3 linked regions of the Caenorhabditis elegans genome follow. The protein of the gene in region 3 interacts with the protein of the main gene of each other region in a pairwise test. Each region holds a gene or a part of one and is shown on either strand. Other genes may lie near its edges.

Region 1 (3,503 bases), on a different chromosome or scaffold from region 3:
ATTACATCAGAAATACTCTTAAAACGTTACAATTTTATTAAAAAGTTCAGCAGTATTGAAAACCAGACATTAAAATTTAATAAGGTTTACCTGCTGTTCTTCAATGAGACTGCGTTTCACTGTGGAAGTATGGAAAAACTGTACAAAATTCACACATTGGTGAAATTACCGAGTTTGGCAAGGAGACCAATTATCTCCTATCGATGGCTCCCCAGGAGGCCAATTTGAAATTTTGTCCTAAAAGTGGCTTTTTGTCCTATTAGTGTTACGAATTTTATACCGTATATCTCCTATTAATATGGCCTCCCTATTAGACTTGCACTCCCTATTAGTGTTGCCCCTCGGAGACCTTCCGAAAATTAGTATGGCACTCCCTAATAGTCTTGCGTTTACTTTTTTTTATTGCAGGCCCGTCTCGTTAATTTCAGGATTTCAACAAAAAATTTTGCCTATTTTGCAACAGTTTTTCACAATATTTCTACGAGATTGAAGTTTTTGAACTTATATGTTACAATTAAAATCAAATATTCTGAATTTTTACATAAGATTCGAGCTTTTTCAGAAAAAAAAACTAGTAAGCTCAAAGTCAGAAAAATGTTCGGAAAATTAGTATTGCACTCCCTAATAGTCTTACACTCCCTATTAGTATTGCAAGCGGGAAGACCATCGAAAAATAGTATTACAGCCATATTAATAGAAGAAATACGGTAGTTTAACTGTGGTGACTACGGTATCTCTTATCCAATCCTGACTTGAATGTCTTCCCATACTTGCACCCAAAGAATCTTATCATTTCCCGGCTTTTCGAGTTTCTTTATCATTTTGCTTCGTCTCAGTCAATCATTGTTCACTTGGTTTGGTCTCAAAATATTAATACACATTATTTTTACTTTTCAAATTTTTATTGTTTTATGATTGTTTAACTTATTGCAGATACCAACAATGAATCATAATTCAATGGATATGGACATGAATCAAGGACCTTTCATGTGGATGTGGTTTCATACAAAACCACAAGACACTGTTCTTTTTTCCACGTGGAATATTACTAGTGCTGGAAGTATGAGTGAAAATTCCTTGCTTTGAAGATACATTGAATAACTAAATTTTAGAAATGGTTTGGGCGTGTATACTCGTTGCAATTGCTGGAATTATCTTGGAAGCAATTAAGTATAACAGAAGACTAATTCAAAAACGACAATCACCAAGCAAAAAAGAAAGGTTAGCTGATAAACATTTTCCGAAACAAAAAATACTGAAAATTATACAATTGGCAGTTCCATGTTTTGAATATTTTTAAACTTAAAAAAAACATTTCATTTTCCGATTCGAAATTACCCAAAATTTGAATTTTGAAAAAACGGCTTGTACAATTCTTTAATATTTGCAGCTACATTTCCCGCCTGCTCTCCACAATGCACTTTTTTCAAACATTCTTATTTTTTGTTCAACTCGGTTTCAGTTATTGTCTTATGCTCATTTTCATGACGTTTTCAATTTGGTTGGGATTAGCTGTTGTTATTGGCTTGTCTATTGGATTTTTAATTTTTGGAGGAAGGAGTGAATAGTTTTTATTTTTTAATTTCATTTCTAGAATTTCATATAAATGTTATCAACAATTTTTGATCATTTATTCTGAGTGTTTCTTTGTTACTGACAATATTGGTTTACCTCTGATTTTGAAATGCGTTCCTTATTCACCTACTCTTCCAGATATTCTTTTAACTTCAAATATATTGTACTCAAAATGATGCACATGATGATGGAAATGTATTTTCATTTTCGAATTGAGGAGCCCATTCTTTTTCGCGAATGGAAACCACTGAACACCACTGCTTATGTATTTTCATGCATTGAAATTTTTTTAATTGCTTTTTGTTTAGAAGCTTTGAAATTTGGAAGAACAAAACTCTCTCCAAAAGTTAAGATTGTGGAAAAGGTGAGTTTTAATAATTAATATGGTTATAATGCACGAATTTTCAGAAAGTAGATTGCTGCTGTTCAACAGAAAAAGATGGATTATGGAATATTCCAGAAACAATTCCTTTGACACAAAAAACTGTCACTTTGGCACCGTTAGTTATTTGCTGCATCATTGTATGAGAGATGCATGCCTTTTGTTTAAAAAAATATTCACGAGTAACATTTTCCTAAACTGTAAACTTTTAAAAAACTCTTTTTGAGCTGAAATTTTCTTTTTCAACTACCTCTACATGTTTTAAAATTAAAATTAATACCTCTACAATGAAAAGCTTCTAAATATGTTTTTTATAACTAAACTTTGTTTACTGTTTCATAACAAGTGAATTATTTTCAATTCTTCCAGATTCACCCGTGACTCCTTAATTTCAAAATTTCACATGGCTTCTTCACTTCTTGTATTTGTGCAACATTTCATTGATTACTCTCTTATGCTGGTTTCAATGACTTACAATTGGCCAATATTTCTCTCCTTGCTTGCAGGTAATGTAATACCTGCTGGCTAAAAAAAATGCGTACGTTAGAGTACAAATACATTTTTGAAAATCAGTCTTTCAAGATTTCAAATTGCTCATAAGTTTTTCGCCTGAAGATAATTATAATAAGGATATTCTGAAACAGTAATTTTTCAGGTCATACCACCGGATATTTCTTCCTAGGACCCATGATGACTGTGGAGGAGAGTGAAGCAGCTGGAAGTTGTTGTTCATAATTTTTAGCTCTATGTATTTTTAATATCCACAATCATCAATGGTTTTTATTGGATTACGAAAGTAATGTATTCGGTTTTTATCTTTCTACATACACTTTGCAAAACTTTCTTTTACTGCCACTTTGTAATCTAATTTATGTCTAGCCATTCAACATTCTTACTATTAGATTGATATTTAACATCACTCTTCAAAGATCGAACTTTTTCATATGTATGACAGATAAAAACACTTTTTTATGTTGTGTTTAAAAAATTTTAATTTCAACAAATTTCAAATAAATGTTTGAATTTTGGTTAACAATTAATTTTTCTCTCTTTGAGCAGTTTTCTATGAGTGTTAAAGATTGCAAAAAATGCCCTCAAATCATACAAGTATCATCTCCCTCTTTTCTCAATTTAAAATCTTTTGCCTCCTTCCATTGCCTTTGGCCATATGCAATATAATAATAATTCAATTTGTTGGCCGAGGAGCATCGTAGCTTCTGATTACGGCTCTCTTCTCACAGAATTACGTCAGTCACGTCAGTGTGTCCCTTCGACATATAAACACTTTTGAATTCAGCTGAACATCAGTTTTAGTTTTAAGAAAATATAAAGCTATAATAGATTTTCTAGTAGTTAAACATTGTAAGAACGAATCAAAATTTTGAAGTCATAAGTTTATCGGAAACTACAATAAATTAGTTTTTCGAATTTTTTACGTTTCCTGAAAAGTGTACGTTTGAAGAAAAACTACGCATTGATGTTGCACTTAAATCCTCGAACTAATTAACTTGCTTTCAGTTTTCCGTTGTTATTCTCTCTATGCAAT
Region 2 (4,352 bases), on a different chromosome or scaffold from region 3:
TTGAGAATGAATCACGACTTTTTCATAACAGAGAAGTTAATTTGTATAAAATTACGAAGAAATGGAATAAGAATGATGAGTTGTTAAGTCCAAAGATTTATTTTTACAAAAAGTTTGATTCTGAGAACCAAACAAAAGGAATATTGGGCATGGAAGCTGTTGATGATGTAACTGTAAGACATCTCTATTACAATGTAAAACCATTTGAGCTGCACTCTGTAAGTTTTAAATCAGATTATCAAGTAAAACTCAATTTATTTACAGGTATTAAAATCGATTGCCAGACTTCAAGCGGAAAGTCTTCATTTGACTGATCAGGAAAAACAAAGTATTGCTGGATTTGATTTGAAGAAGATGTCAAACACAATATTCAGTGAAGAAGGCATGCAAAATAATTTTAAGCAGACTCGTGAAATCAATCCGGAACGATTAAAAGAAAGCGTCGACAAAGTTGAGATTTATGGAACTGAGCTCGTAGATTTGGATAAAGCTATTAACCTAAACAGTTACATTGGTGAGTTTTCTTTCACAAATTTGGATATATTTTACCTATCAGTGAAAACTATTGAGAGATAAGATCTTTATGTCAGGTATCGAACGTGATGTCTTGGTGCACGGAGATCTGTGGTCAGCGAATATTCTATGGGAAGAGAATGAGGGAAAATTTTTAGTAAGCAAAGTTATAGATTACCAGGTAAGTCCCCAAAAAGTTGTGTTTTTTATCTCTGTAATATTGCAGCTCATTCACATGGGAAACCCAGCTGAAGATTTGGTAAGACTTCTTCTTTGTACACTTTCTGGAGCAGATCGTCAAGCACACTGGGAAAGGCTTTTGGAGCAATTCTACGAGTATTTCTTGGAAGCTCTTCAGGACAACGAGACGCCATATTCACTGGAGCAAGTAAATGTTTTGTAGTTCATGGTATTTGAACAATGTTCTAGTTTTAGTTAAAAGAATCCTACCGTCAATATTTTGTTACTGCTGGTCTCTTTATGTTGCCCATGTTTGGACCGATTGCACAGGTATTGTCTGTAACGTATATGAGAAAGTTAATTGATTTCAGATGAAACTTTCTTATTCATCCGACAACGAACACGCAGAAGAGTATCGTGAAGTTCTCACAGAAAAAGCTGAACGGCTAATGGAAGATTTGGAACGTTGGCACTTGCACAGTAAAAACTTTAAGCAAATCTAAAATAGAAGTGTAAATGAAATTTCTATGTAAATATTATATAAGTTGAGCCAAATAAACCGTTTGTTGTAAATAATATTTACAAGATATACAGATGTATAAAAAATAATAATGGCAGGTAAATTTACAAACCAAAAACGAATAGTTGTATTAATAAGTTCCAATAAGGCGCAATAAATATTCTAGCTATTAACACTCCGGCAGTATTATTTTAAATATCTATTTTTCTTTAGACATAGCCTAAATCAAATAATTCGCCTCAAATATCCAAATATCAATTAGTTACACAAAAGATAGAAAACTTATTTGACCAAATAGCGTTGTTTTTAGAAATAGAAAAAAAATAATAATGTTTTGTAAATCCACATCTAACTCAGATAAAATTTAGTTAACTTCCCCGAAAACTTTATTGCACATTATAGGGGTCCAATATTCAATAAATTTAGAAAAACAACTATTTTAATAAACTGTACCAAAGTTCATAGCAATGCATTGAAAATCAAGGGAAAAATATAAAATAACGGAAAAAAGTAAACTCTAGTATTGCACAACTTTTTGTAATTTCACATAATGTGGTTTGTGTTGACGATCAATCGTGCGTAATCTATGAAATTGCGTCACTAAGTAAGTAAAGAAAAACAATGGAACACTCCCATTTTCACTTGATTGAGGTGATTCTATATAAACAAAAATTACCAATGCAAAATTATAATGCTTTCTAGACGATCTATTTAAATAATTTGAATATATTTTTTTAAATTCTATCTCAATTTACAACACTAGTCTCAATTTGATATTTTCTGACTATTTTGTGTAGTGAAAAAAACGATAGGCTGCTCGCCGGTATTAAATTGATAGCCATTTGTTGCATGATACTGATTCAGTCTTATTTTTTGATTCAAACTGAAACAAAAAACTATGAGCGAAAAGAAACCTTCAATCATCGATAATGGAGATGGATTGTTTGAAACTCATGTCAAGTTGGAAGATATTCAAATTCTAATTAAAGAACAGATGAATACTGATTCAAAGCTTGGAGAGAAGACCAAATTAACAGTGGTGGGAGATGGAAATGTATGTTCTTATTTGTTGTAGCTGTTCTTCTTTTGCTAAATATTTAATTTTAGGGATTCATGAGTCGTGTGGTACTTGTGGAAGCAGATTGGACTATTCCTAACGAGAACCTTCCAGAAAAAATCATATTAAAACTGACATCTTGTATCAATGTTCACCACCTTGTTTCACAGATGAAAGAGAAAAACCCAGATGCATTCACTGAACAACAAGAAGCTGAATTATGGGCCATGTTCGAAAGAGAAGCTCAGAATGTGCACAATCGAGAAGTCAATCTCTATAGGATAACTGAGAAATGGAACAAGAATGACGCGCTGTTGAGTCCAAAGATTTATTTCTACAAGAAATTCGACTGTGAAAACAAGACTCAGGGAGTTTTGGGAATGGAGTATGTGGATGATGCTGTTGTTAGGCATCTCTATTGTAATGCAAAACCACACGAGTTGCATCCAGTTAGTTTGAATGATTTAAACCATAAATTAAGCACAGCATTCAGATTTTACAATCATTGGCAACACTTCAAGCGGGAAGTCTTCATTTAACGGAAGATGAAATCAATAGTATTTCTGGATATGATTTTAAATCAATGGTTGGAAGAATGATGAGTGAAGAAGGAATGAAGCAAATGTACACTCGAGCACGTCAAATTAATCCGGAACGTCTGACAAAACCTACAGATGCAGTCGAAGCATTAGGAATGGATATCGTCAACTTTGAGATTTCATGTCATGTGAACAAGTACGCTGGTGAGTTCTGGTTTTTAATTTATGAGAATCAATCAAATCATAACTTAAATAATTAAACAATTATTTCCTTGTTTGTAAATATAATTTGGAAATTTTAGGCATTCAAAAAAATGTTCTGGTTCATGGAGATTTATGGGCAGCCAATATTTTGTGGAAAGAGAATGATGGAAACTGTGTAGCCAGCAAAGTTATTGATTATCAGGTAATAAATTAATAAATTATGAAAAACATTTTTTTATAATCGTTTTAGCTCATCCACATGGGAAATCCAGCAGAAGATCTTGTTCGTGTGTTTCTTTCCACGCTCTCTGGTGCTGACAGACAGGCTCACTGGGAGAAACTTTTAGAACAATTCTACGAGTATTTCTTGGAGGCGCTTGAAGGTAATGAGGCTCCTTACACACTCGATCAGGTAATAATACTAGTTTCCTTTATCAATACTGATTAATTTACTTCCAGTTAAAAGAGTCATATCGGTTATATTTTGTTGGTGGTGGTCTTTTTGTGATGCCACTGTTTGGCCCTGTTGCTCAGGTAGTCAATACGTACAAGTATTCTCTAATAGTTAATTAATTACAGGCTAAACTTTCGTATTCGACTGATAATGAGAACGTGGAGGAGTATCGTGAGGTTCTCACTGAAAAAGCTGAACGTCTCATGGAAGACTTAAAGCGATGGCACTTGTACAGTAAAGATGTGACAAAGGATTTAGAAACGGCGGAAAAGTTGACTTTATGATAAGAATACCGATAAAATTATGAAATTTCTCGAAACTTTTGAATTGTGAAGCAACTTCTTAATAAAGTAACTCATTGACTTTAATTTTTAAACCACGGCTTAGAGAAAATTAAAAATCAAACACTGCAGCTTTTTTGATGCGAAAATTCATTGATATGGAACAAACCTCAAATTTGATAAATAATACAATAATTTGTCAAGAAATCACAAAAACGTTCTTTTGAAATGCAAGTTATAAGACATACGCAAGATGTTATGTCGGTGGCTGGTTTTAACTATAAAATACGAAACAATTGACCTCCTGACACAAAATTTCCGAGCTTGATTTGTCTGATATCATTTGTGCTTTGGAATTATTGTTTCATGTGCATAAAATCTACACTGTGTTCATTCACGATAAGAAGAATTTCAGACAGAAACCACAGGAGGTTCATCGATATAAAATGCTAATCATTTGATTTAAAGAACCATACTCTTTTTACTCTCGTCGTTAAGAAATGACTGCAGAAAAATTAACGATTCTCGATAATGGAGAAGGTTTATTTCAAACACACGTTTATGTGAAAGATGTTCAAGAAGCTATTGGAGAACAGATGAACAC
Region 3 (5,259 bases):
AATAGTTTCGAAGTGGTGAAGTGCTTTCTAACATCACAGTTTGAGGAGCAAAGGCGCCAAGAAAAAAGAAAATTATTTCACCAATGAACACAGTATATGAGATCCATTCCAAATGTAGACATCATAAATCTCCACCCACACTACTTCCTTGTCAACATTTTTAACATTTCTTATTTTAGATCTTGTTTTCTGACTTTCTAGTAATAAATCTACACTTGAAGATTTCCAAGTACTACTTAAAAACGAACAACTTATGAAACAAAAAACCCTTTCTTATCTTCTAAATTAAAAAATCGAAAATTCAAGAAAGAATTATAAAAATGTATAATAACGAGATCACGAGCTTAGTCACAAGAGTTTTGGTTGAAACAGAAAGATTTAACAAAAAAAGCTGGCTATATACAATTCTGAAATGTAAGATATTACTGCTAGGACCTCGTAAATCATTAAATAATTATGCTCTATTCCGTGCTGCTCACGGAGCTCAAAATGCTCATATTTCCAGAATCTAAAATATCCTAATGAGAATTGAAGAAGGGAAGAAAGGGTTCCTCGTATCTCTAATTAGTGCTTGTTCAGGGAATACTTTGAATTGGGAATTTGATTTTTTAACTTGGCAGATAAATCATAAACTGATTTCTACTATGATAGGGAATTTGGAATGCTTTCAACTGTAAGTACCAAATTACACAAAATATTTGCTAGAATTGCCTTTAAATATTAGCTTTATCATATGATCGATGATTGAAAGATAGAAGGAAAAGAGAAGCCTTAAATGAAAAAGTCATAAATTAAATGTTGATATGTCATAGATCATATGATAAATATGTATGAGTTATGATATTTTGGACTTTCAAAATGATTAGTATTTGCTAGTTTGGCTTCTTGAAAATTGTTACGGTTGAAAATAAAAATAGAATTCTCACATCTCGAGAAACAGAACTGTTTGATCAGAAACGACAAATAAACATATATTAATTTTCCGGAGAATGGTTGAAATCTAGATAGTATCAGTTTTTTTCAAACGTACACTTTGTGAGTAGAAACTTAAAGAAAATAATCAAAACGTATGTAGTTCAATTAAAATGTTTTTGATATTATCAAATTATCTTCAAATCATTAATATAATTTTTAGATGGAACAAAGGCAAAATACCACCAGATGCGGTTTCTAATAATACTTAAATTTTTCACCGAAAATTGTATATGTTTTTGAAAACTTTCAGTCAAAGTTTTGGCAAATTGACAAATTTTTGACTCCTACAATGTTTAGATACAAATAGTGAAAACAAAATTAAAACATATTAAATTTGTTTTGATGAAAAAATTCTAACTGGAAAAAACTGAGTAAGTGCATAATAAAATTTATAAATGTATTTGAAAAGCTTCACTATTATATTTGGTCATTTTAGCACAACAGAAATGAACTCTAAAACTTTTCCTACCCATTGTCCATGTGACTTTAAACCGACGAATACAAAGTATTGTATTTCTCTAATGGGCAAAAATAGGAAATTGGGAATCTATTTGGAAAAGAAGATTTTTAAAACAAAATATCCTTGGGAACTTGATCACAGTTTAAAGATGGTGTGGCATTTTTCTACCTTAATTATGACGTGGAATGCCTTGTGACAAAGGTTGATTGGAAATAAATTAAAATAAAATTGCAGATGGGTGTATTTTGGACCGGCCTGAAGTATGTTTTCACGGATTTTTCGTGTTGGACATCAACTCATGGAGTTCCACATATTGGAATGGCAAATGCTCGATGGTTGAGGTAGACATGGAAATTAATGACCCAGAATGATAAATGATTTCAGAGCATTCTGGATACTTGTCGTCGTTGTTTCCATTGCACTTTTTATTTGGCAATTCATCACGTTGCTTACCAACTATTTATCATTCAGTGTGAATACGGAAACTACGGTTTGTTGTAAAGAAAACTTACAAAAACTATATATCTCTTGCGAACAGGGGATATTAAAATAGACATTCTACCAGGGCAAAGCGTAATTAGGTTTTTTCTAAATATTTTACTGATCTTGAAGTTTTTAAATTTGTAGAAAAAGTCATCTGAAAATCTCACGGAAACTGCTCCTGCATTCTCACACTTTACCCATAAATTTCCAGCTGCAATTTGCCGAACGGACATTTCCCACCGTCACGATTTGTCATTTAAATCCATGGAAACTATCAGAAACGAAAAGTGTGGACCCGGATATGAGTGCACTGGTAATCCAAAGTCTTTAATAACATTTTAAATGATTTTGAGGGACTGATTTTTGAAGTGAAAGTGATGGAGTTGTAGAAAACGCGTTAATTTGCATCTCTACGTCTTATATCCCTTACCTATCAGAAGAGCATCAGTTTTCCAGATCGACGCCTACAACTCTGATTCAAGCTCTGCTCAATTTGGACTCCCAGCTTCTTTGACAGCTGATAGGCAGCAACAAGCTAGTAAATGGACTCTCATGTATTCTGAAAGACTTAACGAAAAACAGTATAATGTAGGTCAAAGCTTGTTGAACATGTTTCAGAATTTCCGATGCTCAAAGAGCACCGGGAACTAAAATTTCGACCGATAAATCAAGTTTCTTCAAAAAAGCACATAAATGTTCGAAATTGAAATTGGGGGTTTATAATCATTTCGGAAAAGACATAAAATCCAAAAACTAGGAGAATATTTTATTGTTCTTGTGTGTGTTTTATGATCGATTGCTTTCTTTTTCTTTGAGATTTTGAAGATAAACCAAAGGAAGTGAGTAATTTCAGGATGCGGCAGACATTGCATATTCATATGATGACATGGTTGTTAGTTGCACGTATAATGCAAAAACATGCAACATTACGTACGTTTAAAGTTTGTGTTCGCAGTAATTCTTTACGTCTACCAATCTGCTTATTTTGATAAAATAGTGTAGCTTTATATAATGCAATTAAAACTTAACGTAGAAATTTAGAAAATATGTGGTTGATTTGAAAATAATGAGTATTATTATTGGAAAGTAGAAATGAACCTGTACTTATCTAAAGTTGTAATTTGTCAAACATAATTTTTAGAATCTCTTTCGCTTTTTTAAAAACTTTTTCAACAATAATAACAATTTTTTCAATTTATATCATCATTTATTGAGAAGAAAAAACCAATAAATATAATTAGACTCAATTCATTCAAATATTTTCAGTGATCATTTTAAATTAATTATTAATTGTAAAACTTTAATAATATGGGCAAATTTTCTATATATTTTTATATTTTCCGCGCACCCTTGTTTCAAACAAAATTCTGAAAGATAATTCTTAACTTTCCAGTGACTTTAACGATTTTTACAACCCGTCATACGGAAATTGTCTGCAATTTAACACTGATGGAATGTATTCTTCTTCCCGCGCGGGACCACTTTATGGTCTTCGTATGGTGATGAGAACAGATCAAGATACATATCTTCCATGGACTGAAGCTTCAGGCGTTATCATTGATATTCATATGCAGGATGAAATACCGTATCCTGGTGAACTGCCAAATTGCATTAGAAGTGTATTCTTGATCTTATTTCAGATGTATTCGGTTACTTTGCACCGCCGGGAACTGCTTCCTCTCTTGGTGTTAGTTATGTTCAAACTACTCGTCTTAGTAAACCTTACGGTAGCTGCACAACCAAAACAAAACTAAAAACTACTCATTATACTGGAACATACACTGTTGAAGCATGTTTTAGAAGTTGTATGCAGGAAAAGATTATTGCATCGTGTGGATGTTACTATCCTGCTTATTCCCATGCATCAAATACAACACAGTATGTATCATGTGATAACGGTGTACAGACACTTTCTAATTGTAAGTTTTATCTGCTCATTAACTGAAAAAAATCTGACCAATTTTCCTATTATATTATTTATATGTTTCAGTAAACTGTGTTGACTTGATCAATAGTGCCGATTCAACGGAATTCGATGTGCTCACCGATTGTGATTGCCCTCAACCTTGCGAGTAGGTTATGTTTCAAATATTTATTAAAACAGGCAGCAGTTGTAAATGAGTTGTCAAAATAATATTATTTGGTTCAGAATCGATTCATATGGTGTAACTGTATCCACTGCTCAATGGCCATCCGATTCATATGTGGTACGTGCTTTTATATTGAATATTTCTGTAAAAATTAATTTTTCTAGCCAACAGAATGCAATCCTGGTGGTCCATCTGGTCCGTGGGATGCTTCAGGAGAATCGTGTCTTGATTGGTATAAAGCAAACACCATTCTCATTGAAATATATTATGAACGAATGAACTTCCAAGTTCTTACAGAGTCACCAGCGTATACGGTAAGTTTAAAAATGGAACTCATAAAAATTGGAATATTTTCAGTTTGTAAACTTCATTTCTGATGTTGGCGGTCAAGTTGGTTTGTTCCTTGGAATGAGTATTATATCTGCAATCGAATATCTTGTTTTGATATTTCTTGTCTTTTTCTATTGTTGTACTCATAAATCTAGAAGAGCAGAAATTGAACAACTTGAAATGGACATCAAAAAGGCTAAGGTAGCACTTTAATAGTATTGCACCTTTACAAATTAATTATTTGAAGGATGATGTGGATCAAGTTGCAGAGAAGCGGAAGAAACATCAAAAAGCAAATGCAGAACTTTACGAAATGGATACAGCTCATGATATTGTTCCACCAAAGCCTCATTCTAATGATTGATATTCTGCCGATTTTGGGAAACGTTGAATAAAAGATTTATATTAAGACACAAAAATGCCTTCCAGGCAAACTTTTCTGAAATTTCGGAGCAGGGCAGGGGTAGGTCACGCCAAATGAGGCAGACAGGGGAAGGGTTTGGAAAGCTAGCACAGGAGTTTACATCAAACAGTGGAAGATTCGTAGAGGAATGGCGGCTTAAATTAAAATTTTGAAAAATATTCAATATGTTTTACAGGTATATTTTGGCACTTTTTTCCTGAAAGGTTATCCTCCTATTCATTTTAATATTAAAAAAGTCGAGTATTGAATCAAAAACTATTGAGGGAAATCCCACAAAAATCAATAATTTTATTTTATTTTGAAAAATAGTTTTTCTTGTAGTTTTATTTTTCATTAACAACGAAAATTGATTTAAAAAAATAATATTGTTAAATAAAAATTACTTATCTCCCATCATCTGATTAGAAAACGTACACCTCACTTAAAAGTTATTTTTCCCAATATCCAAGTAAGCCCTATTATTCTCTAATCCAATTCTTAATCCATCCAAAATTTAG

What was found. Proteins that work in one complex are often made in the same cells at the same time.
Region 1: the proteins of del-4 (region 3) and F58G6.7 interact in a two-hybrid assay, tested with the Caenorhabditis elegans proteins (one large-scale study listed by BioGRID).
Region 2: the proteins of del-4 (region 3) and T16G1.5 interact in a two-hybrid assay, tested with the Caenorhabditis elegans proteins (one large-scale study listed by BioGRID).

Annotation. Positions count from the first base shown.
Region 1 is NC_003282.8:9,652,604-9,656,106, forward strand, and holds F58G6.7 (Copper transport protein), read left to right. Parts: upstream 1-1,713; 5' UTR 1,714-1,747; coding exon 1,748-1,939; intron 1,940-1,983; coding exon 1,984-2,075; intron 2,076-2,326; coding exon 2,327-2,463; intron 2,464-2,612; coding exon 2,613-2,692; 3' UTR 2,693-2,985; downstream 2,986-3,503. Other genes in the region: F58G6.3 (Copper transport protein), read left to right, coding at 943-1,060, 1,113-1,221, 1,391-1,568.
Region 2 is NC_003283.11:12,937,056-12,941,407, reverse strand, and holds T16G1.5 (CHK kinase-like domain-containing protein), read left to right. Parts: upstream 1-1,855; 5' UTR 1,856-2,111; coding exon 2,112-2,267; intron 2,268-2,320; coding exon 2,321-2,719; intron 2,720-2,763; coding exon 2,764-3,013; intron 3,014-3,111; coding exon 3,112-3,215; intron 3,216-3,263; coding exon 3,264-3,425; intron 3,426-3,472; coding exon 3,473-3,547; intron 3,548-3,592; coding exon 3,593-3,751; 3' UTR 3,752-3,834; downstream 3,835-4,352. Other genes in the region: T16G1.4 (CHK kinase-like domain-containing protein), read left to right, coding at 1-218, 265-514, 591-694, 740-901, 949-1,023, 1,065-1,196; T16G1.6 (CHK kinase-like domain-containing protein), read left to right, coding at 4,249-4,352.
Region 3 is NC_003279.8:8,138,948-8,144,206, reverse strand, and holds del-4 (Amiloride-sensitive sodium channel), read left to right. Parts: upstream 1-1,669; coding exon 1,670-1,776; intron 1,777-1,819; coding exon 1,820-1,925; intron 1,926-2,129; coding exon 2,130-2,231; intron 2,232-2,374; coding exon 2,375-2,506; intron 2,507-2,771; coding exon 2,772-2,848; intron 2,849-3,311; coding exon 3,312-3,511; intron 3,512-3,558; coding exon 3,559-3,837; intron 3,838-3,908; coding exon 3,909-3,990; intron 3,991-4,067; coding exon 4,068-4,125; intron 4,126-4,172; coding exon 4,173-4,322; intron 4,323-4,365; coding exon 4,366-4,539; intron 4,540-4,585; coding exon 4,586-4,702; 3' UTR 4,703-4,739; downstream 4,740-5,259.